Linked DNA regions of Caenorhabditis elegans. The protein of the gene in region 1 purifies or fractionates together with the protein of each later gene. This does not show direct contact. Each region holds a gene or a part of one and is shown on either strand. Other genes may lie near its edges. The genes, in order: kin-2 and kap-1.

Region 1 (7,901 bases):
TTTTCTGTCACAGGCAGAGGGTCTCCTGAGACCTAAAAAACGGGTGGGCGCTCCACGAAGAAGACGCCGAAAAAAAAAAACAATTTCCCCGGGCGTCGTCGTTGTCGTTGTCCCTGCCTCTGTCTCCTCACGCTTCTTCCATGATTCATAGGGCTCCTTCTCCTTTTTGCTTTGCTTTTTCGCGATTTCTCAGTTTTTTGTCCCGTTTGATGCGTTCCGTATAATATAGAAACGTTGCTTTTTATCCAACAAAACTTTTACATTTTTGTACCAAAAATCCGACAGATTAGCCTATATGGATTAAAGATAAGCTGAGAGTCGGCTGGTATGCTAACTTGATTACCAGCATGCAATAGGATAAAAAATATTGTTCAGTTCTCCCTGTTCCTATTTCAATTTACGTCATATGCCAAAGACCAAAGGCCACGGGTGGTGTAGAGCAAGAGTCCGAGGGGAAATGCCCCGTTGTAATTGGGCGATAACATGAAGACACCCTCGATTTCATCGATAGGTCATTTTCACATTTTCACATTGTGATATTGATTTCTGAACGTTTAGTTTAGTTTATTATCATCACTTGTTTCTCTCGCATGCAAAAAGGTTTACAAACCCGCCTAGAAACCGCATAGGGAGGGGGAAGAGGCGAGAGAAAAGTTAGCATTCGTAGGTATTAAATGCATTTTCTAAAAAATAGGGTTTGAACAACAAATAATTGCTGTTTTTTGCTTGTACTTAAAATGGGCTCGAATTAGCATTCGAAATTCAAAAAAGACCAACAATTGATAGATTCACCAGTTTTGCTAAAGTTTCCAAGTTGCAGAGAATGAAAATTATATATATATTTTTTAATGGAATTATCATTTTTATTGATTGTTTGGTTCACATTATTTAGTTGATTCAAGTGTGTTAAAAGCCGATAAGTACTGAATTTCAATTATGTTTGGTAACCTATCAACTTTAAATGCACCCTTATTAACAAAAAAACGTGAGATAAATTATAAAAATATGCAATACAAATGATACTTTAATGCAGTTAATTTGCAACGCAGAAAAGTGTTTCCCAAATTTTAAACGCCCCCTCGAACGGAATAGCTTATTTATTTTTTGAGAAGTTCATTTGAGTACATTTCGAGTCTATACATGCAAACAATTCAAAACCGTATACATCAAAATTATTTCTATACATTTGTAGCTGCTTGTAACTCTATATGAATTAAACAAAAAAATCTCAAATCAAATTCGTCCGTTTCCGCGACATATTGTAACCGTTGATCTCCTATCAAAAGAGGAAATTCCCTTTATCTTTAAATTATAGTTTCCGGTCTCAGTACTTGCGCGACGACGTTTTTCATTCTGCTAATTATCACCATCAATCATCATATTTACTTTCCGACCATCTGTGTGATCAAAGTGATGAACTGAACTTGTCTTCAAATTTCAACAAATCAATTATCTGATTTTTCTCTTTTTCTCTTTTTCTTTTCTCTCTTTTCTCGTTCTCTCGCTCAACCAAGTTTGGGTATCAATTTTCTTTTCTTGCTCCTCCTCTCTGTTTTTTCCTTCTTCTCCACTTTTTCTTCCTTTTTTTGCTGCTCAATTCTGCTTTGATCTACTGGGAAGGCTGTGTGCCAAGATTTTCCAAAATGTTGTACACTGGCGGGTGTATCAGCATTCATTCGGTAACCGCTCATCTCGCTCTTTTCCGCGGCATCCCCCGTCAAAAGTCTGTTACCTTCCCCACCAAGTTTTCATCTCATTTCAAACGTGTGTTTTCTGCTATTTTTCTCGCATTTTTGTCTCTTTTGTTTGTTTAAAACAAGAAATGACTGAAAATTATGAACAATTATTCAGGTGACATTGTTTTTATGTCGGGTGGAAACGAAGAGGATCAGTTGGCACAATGCCAGGCCTATGTGCAACGACACAACATTCAGCAGCTTGTCAAAGAAGCAATTGGTGAGTTTTTGAAAATCTAGCAAAATAATAACACGAAAGTAAGAATACGATTTTTCCAGTTGTTCTGTGCATACACAAACCCGACAACCCGGTTCTCTTCTTGAAGGATCATTTTGAAAAACTCAACGAACAACGAGCACAGGTTAGTTGAGTTGCAGAGAATTTAGAAATTGAAAAAAAAAATATTTTCAACATAAAAGTGAGAAGAATGACAGAACCAGTTCGAAATTATGACCAGAAAAAGTATTCAAATTTGCTGACACTGAAAGAGTATTGACGTGGTACGCCAAAAAAGTTAATTGTTGCGTTTTGAAACGGTTCTTCTTATCGGAAAACGTAGTGTTGCATAAGCGTATTATAACGTTTTGAGTACAATTTGTGATGGGGGTTTTACAATTCTTCAGGATTTTTATTTAATTGTTCGTGTTTTCTGAACCATGAAACTCGGTTTCAGACTTTCAAATTTGAAATTCACATAGCTTTATAATTATATCATTGTTCTAGATCAGTGAAATTTGTTATTTTATTCTCATTCATAGTACCAAGTTTTTGAGGCATCGAAAATCTCGTTTGACTCGCTTCAAATATTTGAATATTTTATCCGGTTTTGTGGGAGCCAAGCGTCATGATTTTTTGTTTCGATCTTGTTTTTAATGAGATGCACTGCAAAAAAAAGCTTGAGAAAAAACTGGAAAATGCAAATTAGGTCAAACATCTTCCTGTGTCTTTTTCGTCATTCCTCCGCGTTTATGGCTCGAATCAATGAAAATGAAGCTTCACTTCGTTTTTTTTTTCGTCTTGTGTTGCTTCTTTTTTTCATAGAAAGCAAGCCTTGTGTATGTCGTTTTTCCGTCGGGGTCCTCTGGAGAAAGAGAAGAAAAAGAAGAAGAGGAAGAAGAAAAAGAGGCACTAGTTAGCTGGGAAAACGAAAGGATGAAAGAGAGCGGATAAGGCGTAACGAAAACGAAGAGAATTGAGAGAATGGGCCCTTTGAGACGAGTCCCAATGAGCCCTCCAGAGCTGTCCATCGAGCATCGAGCGCCCGCAGCCATTGGCTCAGCTGCCGAGCTCTTTTCCCTTTTTTTCGGGTCCGGTTTGTGAAGCGGAGAGAAAGTGACGAAGAATGAAGAAGGCCTCGGGGCAGATTTCTCTTGCTCTTCGTTGCTCTTCGGACGATCGCATTTTTCTTCTCCTTCTGCCGCTCCTTAATGCTCCATGCTTTTTGTTCTCCGTTGTTTTTTCAACACCCTCGCATTTTGTGTCTGGAATTTTTGTTTCGAAAATAATTGAAGTAGGTAGTATTTTCACAAAAATAACAAAAGTCAAAAGACTAGTCATAAATCTTTAGGAGGTCAGGTGAAAGAAAGGGAAGAGGAAACAGTAACAGTGACGACGAACCAAACATCATTGTCACGTTCTTTGAAGATGTGAAATTCTAGATTTAACCTTTTTTTTTCTCTGACACCTAATTTTTAAAATTCCAAAACATTTTGCTTTTTTTTCTGTCACAAATTTTAAACGCTTCAAACAAAAAACAACATTAGTCATAATCCAGGAAATATAAGGTATTACAAACTTTTTATGACGTCATCGTTACTTGCAACATTCTGAAAAGGTTCTCGAAACGATTATATATATATATATATATATATGATGAAAAACAACACAAAAAGTTCGGAGCTCTAGAATTTCAATTTGGGAACATTCAAAAAAACACAATAAAACTAAAACACTCGAGTCCACTTTTCACACTCCAATTTTTATGTCTTTTTTTGTACACATGTGTTTCAGTTTTAGACACAGCTTATCAAAATCGAATTGGGGCGGTTTTTTGGAATGTGGTCATTAAAAAAGTGTGTTTAAATTTCTATTGAAAAATTTGAACGTTTGTATTTTTTTTTGAAATTGTAAATAGAAATATTAATTTTGAAATGGAAAACTAAGTTTTGAAATTTAACATACTAAATTTGCCAATGCCATTCACTAAAGGACCATAAAGTGTGCGTACCTTCCATTTCCTGCGTCTCTCAACATATTTCTTTTGCATACTGTTCGGACGTTTATCGATCTTTTATGTTCTCTCTTCTTTCCAACCGCTTCCCCAGAAAAATAGTTTATTTTAAACACTCGTTTATGAAAATTTTTTGGCAAATGCTGATACACAATTTTTTTTTCATTTTTAAAGTTTTACAACTTTTATTTTCGAAAAACTAGGAAGTGCATACTCCGATATTTTCTATCTTCTCTCCGCCTCGTTTTCGTTATATTTGTCTGTCAAATTCAATAATCGAATAAAATTTGCCCCGAAGGCAGCTTCTATCCGGCCGAGTGTTTTTATGACCGCCTCAGAGATAGAGAACGATGCCAAGTTAAATGGAGAGAATGAAAAGAGTCACGCTTTTCTGATGCTAAATGACTTTATTGATTTTTGAGAGAAAAACTATTCGAATAAATAGCTCGTTTTTTACGAGGTTTTATTGAATATGTTCGAAAACTAGTAAAATGGGTTTTTTTTTCAAACGAATTGAAATATTAGTCATACCATTCTCTTTGTTTTTCTCCACGTAAAAAATGCCTCGAACGTTATCATTGTGTCATTTTCTATAAAATCAGCTGATTTTTATTTTCTGTACCACAGAAACTTTTATGAATTCTAAGAATAACGTGGCAGATTTTTAAGATAGGGAATTTGTCATTTATTGGATATTTCTCAATGTGTGCATAATACTCTCTGTGAGCACAATACACTCATCGTAAATTAACTTCGATGCGACAAATCAGAAATTAAATAGTTACTCTTAGAAATACTGAAATTGAATTTTTTTTTGTTGTTTCATAAAACAACATGAGTAAGAATAGAGGAACAATTCGAGACTATTTATTTTCTGTCTAAATGTTGCGGCTGCTATAGTAAATTGCCGGTTGCTTGAGACAAAAATGCATGAAGTCGTTGTGCCCTCCACCTACTAAATACAACTGGCAAAGCTCTTTCAGATATTGACATTCTTACTTTTTCCTCTTCCGTCCTTTCCTCTCCCTCTTTCTGTTTCGTTCATTTTGCGCTACCACAGCAAGAAAAACATTCACACGCCTTCAATTAGGTCTCATGTGGAAACCCGGTCCGATTTTGATTTTCGTCTTGTTTTTAGCCTTCTCATTCTACCTCCAACTACAACATACTACTCAATGTTTTGTCATAGTTGTTGTAGTTGAAAGTTCGACGCACACACAATTGCCTTATTTGCCTCCTGACGTGTTCCTTCATTTACAATAGTCATAGTGTTTGTTTTTTCAAATATTTATTTGACTGCTCACCACAACTCTGGTTTCCATGGATATGTTTTATTCCAAAACATCTGCTTCTTAGAAAATTGCCGTTACATTCCTCTTTTTTCACCTACATAGACTTTTTCTTATTCTTTTAACCAAGTTATTAATCAATATTGTCAGAGTATCACCACCAAGGAATGTGATGGGGCAGCAATTGAGCAACCGACGAAACTCGCAATCTGTGGGCGCCACAAAAAACGCAAAGACTCCAAAGCCTAAGGTGATAGTTTTTTGAGAGGATAATCACTTTTTTCTTATGGATTTTTGGATTTCATGCGTAGTTCGAATTAATTCTCTGATTAGAATGGCTTCTATGTTTTCAAACATCACATTTAATAAAATTTCTTGAAAAAATCAAGTTAGAAATTTGAACTGTTCAAAACCTGATCTTTTTAGGCAATTTTAAACGGATTCTGCAAACTTCTAGAAATAAAAAAAAACAAAAATAAAGGGAGACCTCAAAAATAAGAAATTGTTTTGCACAACAGAAACAAAAGTAACCAGGTGTCTGCTAGTATGATCGAATCTCAGTCACGACGGATGAATGATGAGCGGCGTGGAATGAAATGAAAAAAGGGGAAGCGCTGGAACCTTGATGGAGCACTAGCAAAATTGTAGGACGAAGAGACTTGCGAGAGCTACGAGTACGCATTTGAAGCACATTAGACGGCGCGGCAGCTCGCTCGGCGATAGATTGGCTCAGTGTGCACCGCACTTCATATTTCCTTGCGTTTTTCTTCTTGCTTCTTTCCATTGAAAAATTCTTCCAATCCATTTTCAATTCAGTGGTTCACACCTTAAAAATGGAGTTGAACATGTACCGGGTGAGTGAGCGAGTGGGTGTATTTACTTTCTGCTGTGTTGTTTTTATTGCGCAAATAGACAGGCGGAGACGGTTGCCCTGTTGCTAAACAGAAACAAGTAAGTTTGCGGCGTAACATAATTTACATTACCTGGTGGCCCACTTAATACGATTCCCGATTTACAATTTCCAACCTCAAGGTTAACGTTTTGTCGAAACAAAAAAAAAATAGCAGAGGGTCAGTAATTGACTGAACTGGTTCTGGTCATTTTATATTTTGATTTTTCATTCATTTTTTCCGTCGCTGAACTAACTGAAACAGGAAAATTCCAAAATGGTTTGTTATTTTGCACATCTTTTATTTTCAAACTTTCCTTATCAAATCTTAACATTTCAGGAAGGAGGAAATCCGGACGCTGCTGATGATGACGACATCATTGTGGAGCCACCAAAGAGATCAGGTGGACGCAGAACCGGAATCTCTGCCGAACCAATCAAGGAGGACGATACCGAGTACAAGAAGGTTGTGATTCCAAAGGATGATGCTACAAGAAGGTCGCTTGAGTCAGCCATGAGGAAGAACTTGCTCTTTGCTCATTTGGAGGTGAATAAATTCCCAAAAAAATTTCTAATAACATTAAATTTTTATTCAATTTTTTGGTTTTTAGGAGGATGAGCAAAAAACCATGTACGATGCCATGTTCCCAGTTGAGAAGTCTGCTGGAGAGACCATCATCGAACAGGGAGAAGAAGGAGATAACTTCTATGTTATTGATAAGGGAGTGAGTTGCTTCTCTCTAAGAGCTTATCCGTACTTTCATATTTAAGACCGTTGATGTCTACGTCAATCACGAGTACGTTCTCACCATCAACGAGGGTGGATCATTTGGAGAACTTGCTTTGATCTATGGAACTCCACGTGCTGCAACCGTCATTGCCAAGGTGGCAAAATGCCACTCAAATTCATTTTATATATTTTCTTCCAGACCGACGTGAAATTGTGGGCCATCGACCGTCTCACCTACCGTCGTATCTTGATGGGATCAGTAACAAAGAAGAGAAAGATGTATGACGAGTTCCTCTCCAAGGTTCAAATCTTGGGTAAGTAAATTGAAGAACCAGAGAAGAAAAATGAACTTAAGCCGAGACTCATCAATCATCTTTCAGCCGATCTCGACCAGTGGGAGCGCGCTAACGTGGCTGATGCTCTTGAGAGATGCGACTTCGAGCCAGGAACTCATGTCGTCGAGCAAGGACAACCCGGAGACGAATTCTTCATCATTCTCGAGGGAGAAGCCAATGTGTTGCAGAAGAGAAGCGACGACGCACCATTCGACGTTGTCGGACATCTTGGAATGTCGGACTATTTCGGTGAGCAATAATCAGAAAAAAAGAGAAAAATTGGAAAAAAAATGAACAAACATGGAAAGATCAAAAAACTAATTGTATTTGGCAATATGCGGGTGATTCAATAAATGCAAACATTTTTTTTATTGAAATATAACTCTAGACAAGATTTTTGTGACACTTCATATATCAATGTAGGCTTTTCATGAAATGCAGGCGCGGTTTCAGGGAATGACGTCGCTTTGCATTTTGGTGTTAAATCAAAACCCTGGTGTTTGCACCAGAGCCCGACACGTTTTGATTTTTGAACCGCACTAATCAGTAGGCGTGGGTCGCGACCCTTGTCGACGCCTGAATGAAAGCTTTATTTCAATGTCACAATTTCAGGAGAAATCGCTCTTCTTCTCGACCGCCCACGTGCCGCCACCGTTGTTGCCAAAACCCATCTCAAGTGCATCAAGCTGGA
Region 2 (7,139 bases), on another chromosome or scaffold:
CCATAATCCAAGTGCCAGTTTATTATAATGAAAATATTCACACTGGTGTTGCTTGAGTAAGTTATCGATCGTTGTTGTCTGAAAATCCGATTAACATGAGAACTGCTAATGAGGTTCCCAGCCACGATGCAACTAGATTCCACTTCAAATTAAACGTGTCAAGTATTAAGAAACCATCGGTGCATGAGAATGTCTACTTTCTGGCGCGAAAATGGCGGCAGGAGAGATTCTTCGGATATCTAGAGTAATCTAATTGTAAGAACATGCGGCGATGAGAATTTAGGTACCTTCGCTACGAGATATTCCCGCGCCAAAACGGTAGGCATTCTCATGATCTCATGGTCTCTTAATAATTTCTCTTATTTTCTTCTGTGGCATTTTTGAGTCCTAGACTCTTTCAAGTACTATATGTGTCCCCATTCACTCCACCTTTAAGATTCACAAGATTGAAAGTTTCACAACTTACCGAAATTATTGCAGTTGTAACATTTGAAGAATTGTTCATTTTTGAATAAAATGAAGCAGTCACTTCGAGGAATGAAACACTAAATGTGAAACACTACATGGCCAGAGAAAATTTGACCTTTCAAAAGATAAATATTTATACGTGAATTTTGTTTTAATTTTTTGCATATAAATCAAAACATTCATTTATTAAGTAAAAATATATAATTTGTAGGTTAAAAAAACAACAAACAAAAGTTAAAAAAGGGGCTCATTCATATCAAATCCATCATCATAGTGATCAAATTTGAGATCAGCTCCAAAATCTTCATCATCGTAATCTACGAATTCGCTGTCGTCTCGCTGGAAAAACGATTTTTAACCGGTGACTTTAGAGCCTATATTAATGTAATGTAACTCAAGCTGCATTACTGCTATCCTGTTTCTACCGTAACACTCACCGTAAACTACTAAATAGATTCATTTAAAGTAATGATGTTTTTGATACATATTTTTAACGGGATAGTCAGAGTGTCTTCGTTTTTGAAAGTATTTTTATACAGAAATAAAACTAGGAAATGCTAGTGACGTTAAATTTCCAAAACCTTGTATAGTATATTTGTATAGTGACCAGTATCATAATATTATTTGTACCAATCAACGAATAAATTGTTAAAATAACTACGATCATACCTCAACCATCTCCAACCATTGTGCATTGTGCCATTTGAATCTCTCTCCAGCTATCCGTTTTGCCCATTCTTTTGAATGTTCACCCATTATCAAAAGGGCATTATCGCAAACTTCTCGAACCACTGCGTTTGCATCGTGCATCAAATCGATCATATGGGCTCCGAGAGCTGAATCTTGAGTCATCAGGCGAGCAGATAGTTCCTTTGAAAAATTTATATGAGAGTTGAAAAAACTCTAAAACGTTATACCTTGTGCTTTAAAAATTGCAAGAAAACGTAGAGAAGTTGCACAACAAACTCATCATCAATTTGGCATGCTGAAAAAAAGATTGCGATATTTTTCAGTAATTTATTTGTATTCTCGATACACCCAAAAAAGATCAAAATGACACCAGTAAAACACTTCAAAAACGTTAGATTTTAAAAAAGATTTAGCTGAAGATTTGTTAATTTGCCAATTACTTCCAAAAATATGTACTTTTTGAGTAATTTTGAACATTTTTACATGTTCGATTTCCTAGAATGTTCAAATACAATTGAAACACAACTAGTTTCAATAATTTCCATTTTGTAATTTACCAACTGGCAAAGCTCCACCTTTAAATCTGATTGTGAGGAAAAATGAACTTTTATGTTTTCAAAAGTTACTGGGGTTTTATTATGAAACAAACTCTTAAAAAATAACTTAAATTTATGAACGTACATTGTAATAACTGCACAAATGTATCAATCAAAGGAGCCAATAACCTAGCTGCATCCAATTGCCTAGCCATTGTTCCACAAGCAATTACAATTTGTAGTTGGAGAGGTTTTATGTCTCGAAGTACTGTCACTTCTTCGGATTCATCAATTCCTTCTTGAAGTTGAGTTTTCATCCAAGGAACAAGATTTTCAGATTGAATTATTCTATAATTTAAGTTTTTGATTGGAATTCCGAACTCAAAAAGCTCACTTTGCCCACGGAGCAACTTTGAGCTCAGCAACTGTACCCATGCATTCTAAACCAAATGAAGATTTTGACTCTGAGTTGTCTGCTCCTTCATTTTTTGCAATCCCGATAAGAGTTTCAATCCACTTCTGAAAATTCTAAATTTAAATAACAACGTTCATTTTTTTTCGTTATCTATTTTCACCGTTCAATAATAATTCAGTTCTCAACTTACCAAAAACATATTCTGCGTCGCACCTTCGTGACTTGAAATCGCTCGAACAACCTTTATGAGCATTAGATCTCTCGAGTTGATAGACATTTCCATAAGAAGATCTAATCCTTGACCACGTTGTCCACATACCAACTGAGCATTTCGTTTTTCGAGGCAAATATTCAACAGGACTGCTTTTGTCACTTCACTTCCTGTTCCACTTAGCACATCTTTCATTAGCTGGAAAAATGTTTTTTTATGAATCATATCCTCGTAGCAAACGTTGGAAAAATCGGTGACTATTTGCTATGTGGCGTTATATTTAGGTTTAACAAAACATAGACCCGAGGTAAGTAGATTTTGTCTGAATTGCTATTTCAATAATGTTCAAACAATTTCAAAAAAAACAATTGATTCACAAATAAAGTAGCTCAAACGACAACCACTATTCGAATGCAAACTTGAAAATAATATCAAAAAATTTGAAAAGTTTTAGTATAGGATTGGTTTTTAACAATTTTCCACTTGCGTTTTTCCATCTTTAATGTATAGTAACTTTTCGACTATCTCCTTTGATTGACCCAACTCACCAATTTAATAGCATCGGTGTATGCTAACATTGCTTTTGCATCATCATTACAACTTAATAAATACATCATATTCAATGCCTTCGTGTCACTGTCCAATAGAGATGCCATATGTGGTACAAGACCTCCATTCACCATTTTTGGTAGATTTTTGGAGTCAAATGAAAAATTGAAAAGAAGCATTATAACTGCTTTTCGCAGTTCTGGATCTTGAATTGGAAATAGTTTCAAAAGTTTTTCGATTGTTCCATTTTGTTCCATTACAATCTTATTTTCATCAAAAATACTTAATTTAAGAAGAAACTTGATAGTTGCAGTTGTTAGTGAACTTGTAGATTCTGATGACATTTGGAGGCATCTAGAAATGTAAAATGAGTGAATGTGGTGTTAATTATTAAAGGTGGAGAGATTAAAAAAAACTGTGAAAAGTGTTACTATGATATTTCAGCATTTTACAATTTCCTCACTAACTGCGCCTTTAAACTCACTTGACAAGAAGTGCCACCAAATTTCTTCGGACCATTTTCAATTCGACACTGATATCCGTGGCTAGATTGGTAAGAAAAGTGACACATGCTGGAATTGAACCATTTTCAATGTAATATGTACAATTGCAACAAACCTGCCAATAGCATCGCCTGTTTTCGAATGGCTGTTTTTAGTTTTCTCAATGTCTCTTGATCCGTCTTTTTCATCTCAGCAATCCAAAAATCGTACCGTTTTGTTTCATGTTCCATTGCATTTACACATAAAGTACCAATCTGCAAATCTAGCTTTTAAACGAAATTCAGGTGAAGTGAAGGCGTTTAGAAACCATGCATGCCTTGTGATGAAGCAGAATTCCGTGTAAACATGAAAACTTGGAAATATTCACAAAAAGGTTCATAATATTGGTTCCAACTTCAAAGTGTTTCTTCCAGTCTTCTCGGAATACTCTTGCCAGTGCCATCATAAGAGTTTCTGAAATGTAGTGTTATTTGAACGTTAACTTTAATACATAGATTACGTCCGAAAATTATGGTCATCGGGTAAGCTTTTCTAGAATTACCTACCATTGTTCACAAGCTGTGTGAGGTTTTGAGGATTTTTTGAAAGTTCATAAAGTGCCACGGCTCCTTTGTTTTTCTCAACAGAAGTTTCACCGTAGAAGCATTCTATGTACTCCTGAAAGATACATTTTTAATTTCAAAAGTAGTTTTTCAAGTTCTATTTGGTTTTAGGCTCTCACCATAATAAGAAATCTGTTTTTATATAAATGTTGAATGATGTATAGAAAACCATTCAAAGATTATTTTAAACTAATCAGATTATTTTCGAAATAAATTTTTAGATTCTAAAATATTGGTACTACCGGATACAAAAGCACTCAAGCGAGCTTGGTTTTGTTTCAGCTGCTCCATTTTAGAACATGTAACAATTAATGTTTTCAATTTTGATATAGCCTATGCGTATTTGTAAAATAAAACCAAATGCTCCTCAACTTTACGTAATCTACAAAATGTTTTCTTATAAAACGTACATCTATTTTCCCTAATTCTGCACTAATTGTAGGACTATGAATAGGCCTTCGATCAAATGAAACGGCCGAAGAACTTCTTGATCTCGCACTTATTCGTTGATTTCCTCTTTTTTGAATGTAGAACAAAACCTGCTCCAATTGACTTCGTGACGTGGCAGGAATGAAAAGACATTTTTGAAGAATAACATTTGATAAAGCACGAATATCTACATCCAGACTCATTTCTTTCAAGTGGATTCTGTAATACAATTTGGGTAATTTTGTAGCCGTACAATGTTAGATGCAGGTGACATTTTGAGGTTCTCATATATATATATATTCGATTATTATTTTTTATCAGTTATTTTCCAATATTCTAAAAATTAAAGAGGCATGGATTCATGGGGAATGGGTCTCACAGCGAGCAAAATGCTCAAGTCAACACTTTTTGCTATTTTCGGTCGTGCGTTTTCTGTTATTCGGGGTTTTGTGAGCAATTATTAAATAACTTTTCTGTATCTTGATTGTGGTTTTTGCAACAGAAAAAATTTAAAGTGTTACCATAAACATTTTTCGCGGTGAGACCCATCCGAAAGAATACGTGCACCTTCGTGGGCATACGGTCTTAAAAATATTTTATTTTATTTTTCTTGTTAAGCAGATTTGCATTCCAGTTTAATTTTATATTTTATATCAGATTCTTACATTTTTTGATGGCCAAGAGACTCAACGTTCGCTGAAGAAGCTCGCTTTTTTATTGAAATTCCTGCTGAAGAACCTGAATCAAACTTCCAAATAATCTTCGTAACACATTCAATTGAAAATAAAAATATAAAACTTACTAGGAGATTGTTCAAATCGTACAATAATTGCCTGATCTGACGGGTGTGCATCTATTGAAACTTGATTCATTGAGCTAAACACGGAAAATCAATCGAAAAAACTCAAAAAATATTTCTCTTCATTCTGATTACCTATTATAGCTTACTGAAGAGCCGGGGCGGAGCATTTCTGAATAACTGACAAACGACAGAAATCGATGAGACGGCTCGAGGAGCACTAGTCGTGGGGGATGTCTGTTCGTCTCGCACGCTCTCCTTGGAGACGTTGCACTCGTTGTAATAAGAAATATTGCTTACACGCTTGTACCAGTGTTCTATTTTATTTGTTCGGAAAACTTTAATGAATTAAATCGACAAATGGGGGTTTTAACAATATAAAATTGAGAAACGAAGAGTACGGGATGGACGAATGAATGGAGGAAGGAAAGGAGTGGAGATTGATTGACATCATAAACATTTGTTTTAAATATTTAGACCATTTAGAGAAGTAAAATTTGATACTGTTTTAAGAGATAAGTTTAGCAAAAAAAATTAAAATTTGGAATTTAAAAACGAATAAAATGGGGATTGTTTTGATGAAAAATTGAGCCAGCAATTGGTGAGGAGTCATTAGCTCTAAATGGTCCACAGAGATAAAGAGGAAGGGATGTTGACAACGAAAGCTTGAATTGAGAGGAGATTCGCCGGGACCACAGCATCTTCTCGTGCCAGCCTAGATCATAATGAATCGAATTTAAACTTTTTCGAAACTATGTTTAAAATCAAAATTAATGTACACAACTTTTTGAAGCCGATTTACGAGAGATGGCCGAGGCCTCTTGGGGCGTGAACAACAAAGAAAAGGTTAGGTATTTACAGATGATAGATAAATCGACTGATGATTACTTCTTGGCACCCTTCTTTGGTTGCGCAGCCGGTGCGTTTCGTGGTGGGGTGACTGGTCTATTTGAACCAACTCCTCCAGCACCATATGGATATTTCTTCTTGTCTGCTGGTTTCAAGATCTGAAAAAAATATTCCGAATTGTTTTATTTTAATGTTTGATAGGTAGTTTTAGCGTTTAATAAATCACCTCAGACAAATGCCTCAATTTCACCCCGCTTAGCGGCAATTTCTTCGAAGAACTCGAATAGATAGCCAAAATAGACTCGTCTGATTTAACCATTGCATCATTGGTGAATGCATACGCATTATCAGTATTTAAAATTATATAGATGGTACCGCTATGTTTACCTGGAAAGAGCACATCAGTGTTTCATCGACAGTCATCATCGATCCCGCGTTATCAAACTCTCCACAATAATTAGGAGCGCTGAACAATGTAACCAACTGCCGCTTAGCGAAGAATTCGTAACCGTCTTCCACAACCTGAAAATTTCTCGGTTCGCAACTTTGCAGAAAATCTTAAGTAATACCTGGTGAGCTCTGCAAATCAAATCCAAATCGTGCTTGTGCAGGAATTTGGCAACAACTTCTGGTCCGAAAGTGAAAGAGACGCCTCGGTCGTTTTCTCCCCAGCCAGTGACATCCTGAAAATAAATGGTAATCATTCATTGAATTTTATGTTCACAAACGAACTTTATCAGGATCTGACCACAACAGATCGCACAACAATCCTTGATCTGGTACGTCTGTCGGCCTCATGATACGACGAATTTGCTCCATAGACTGAAGATCTGGAGAAAGTCCTCCGTGACAGCAGAAGATCTTTTCGTCGATGATGGCGGCAACTGGCAGGCAGTTAAAGCAATCGGTGAACGTCTTCCACAGTTTGATGTTGTATCGCCGCTTGCCTAAAAACATGAGATTTGAATAAATCTGTACTAAGATAATCTCAGATCAAACTCTTACACTCGTCATAGAAGCCATAAATTCTGTTGATCGAGGCACACTCGTGGTTTCCTCGGAGCAGGAAGAAATTTTCCGGGTACTTG

What was found.
Region 2: the proteins of kin-2 (region 1) and kap-1 purify together in Caenorhabditis elegans (affinity purification with western blotting, with the first as the bait; one study listed by BioGRID). This does not show direct contact.

What each region holds. Positions count from the first base shown.
Region 1 is NC_003284.9:5,971,789-5,979,689, reverse strand, and holds the start of kin-2 (cAMP-dependent protein kinase regulatory subunit), read left to right. Parts: upstream 1-1,835; coding exon 1,836-1,956; intron 1,957-2,015; coding exon 2,016-2,098; intron 2,099-2,878; exon of another isoform or gene 2,879-3,017; intron 3,018-5,406; exon of another isoform or gene 5,407-5,428; coding exon of another isoform or gene 5,429-5,506; intron 5,507-5,778; exon of another isoform or gene 5,779-5,894; intron 5,895-6,021; exon of another isoform or gene 6,022-6,156; intron 6,157-6,485; coding exon 6,486-6,692; intron 6,693-6,756; coding exon 6,757-6,870; intron 6,871-6,916; coding exon 6,917-7,030; intron 7,031-7,074; coding exon 7,075-7,189; intron 7,190-7,255; coding exon 7,256-7,459; intron 7,460-7,822; coding exon 7,823-7,901. UniProt on the Caenorhabditis elegans protein: Controls the rhythmic contraction of enteric muscles probably by regulating G-protein coupled receptor aex-2-mediated calcium influx in GABAergic DVB neurons.
Region 2 is NC_003281.10:7,337,137-7,344,275, reverse strand, and holds kap-1 (Kinesin-associated protein), read right to left. Parts: upstream 5,276-7,139; coding exon 5,206-5,275; intron 5,142-5,205; coding exon 5,069-5,141; intron 4,623-5,068; coding exon 4,385-4,622; intron 4,030-4,384; coding exon 3,918-4,029; intron 3,826-3,917; coding exon 3,680-3,825; intron 3,627-3,679; coding exon 3,488-3,626; intron 3,442-3,487; coding exon 3,354-3,441; intron 3,224-3,353; coding exon 2,869-3,223; intron 2,519-2,868; coding exon 2,300-2,518; intron 2,214-2,299; coding exon 2,089-2,213; intron 2,043-2,088; coding exon 1,840-2,042; intron 1,454-1,839; coding exon 1,386-1,453; intron 1,339-1,385; coding exon 1,138-1,338; intron 808-1,137; coding exon 703-807; downstream 1-702. Other genes in the region: F08F8.6 (uncharacterized protein), read right to left, coding at 1-78, 467-505; gsp-2 (Serine/threonine-protein phosphatase PP1-beta), read right to left, coding at 6,087-6,209, 6,439-6,573, 6,621-6,734, 6,784-6,998, 7,057-7,139.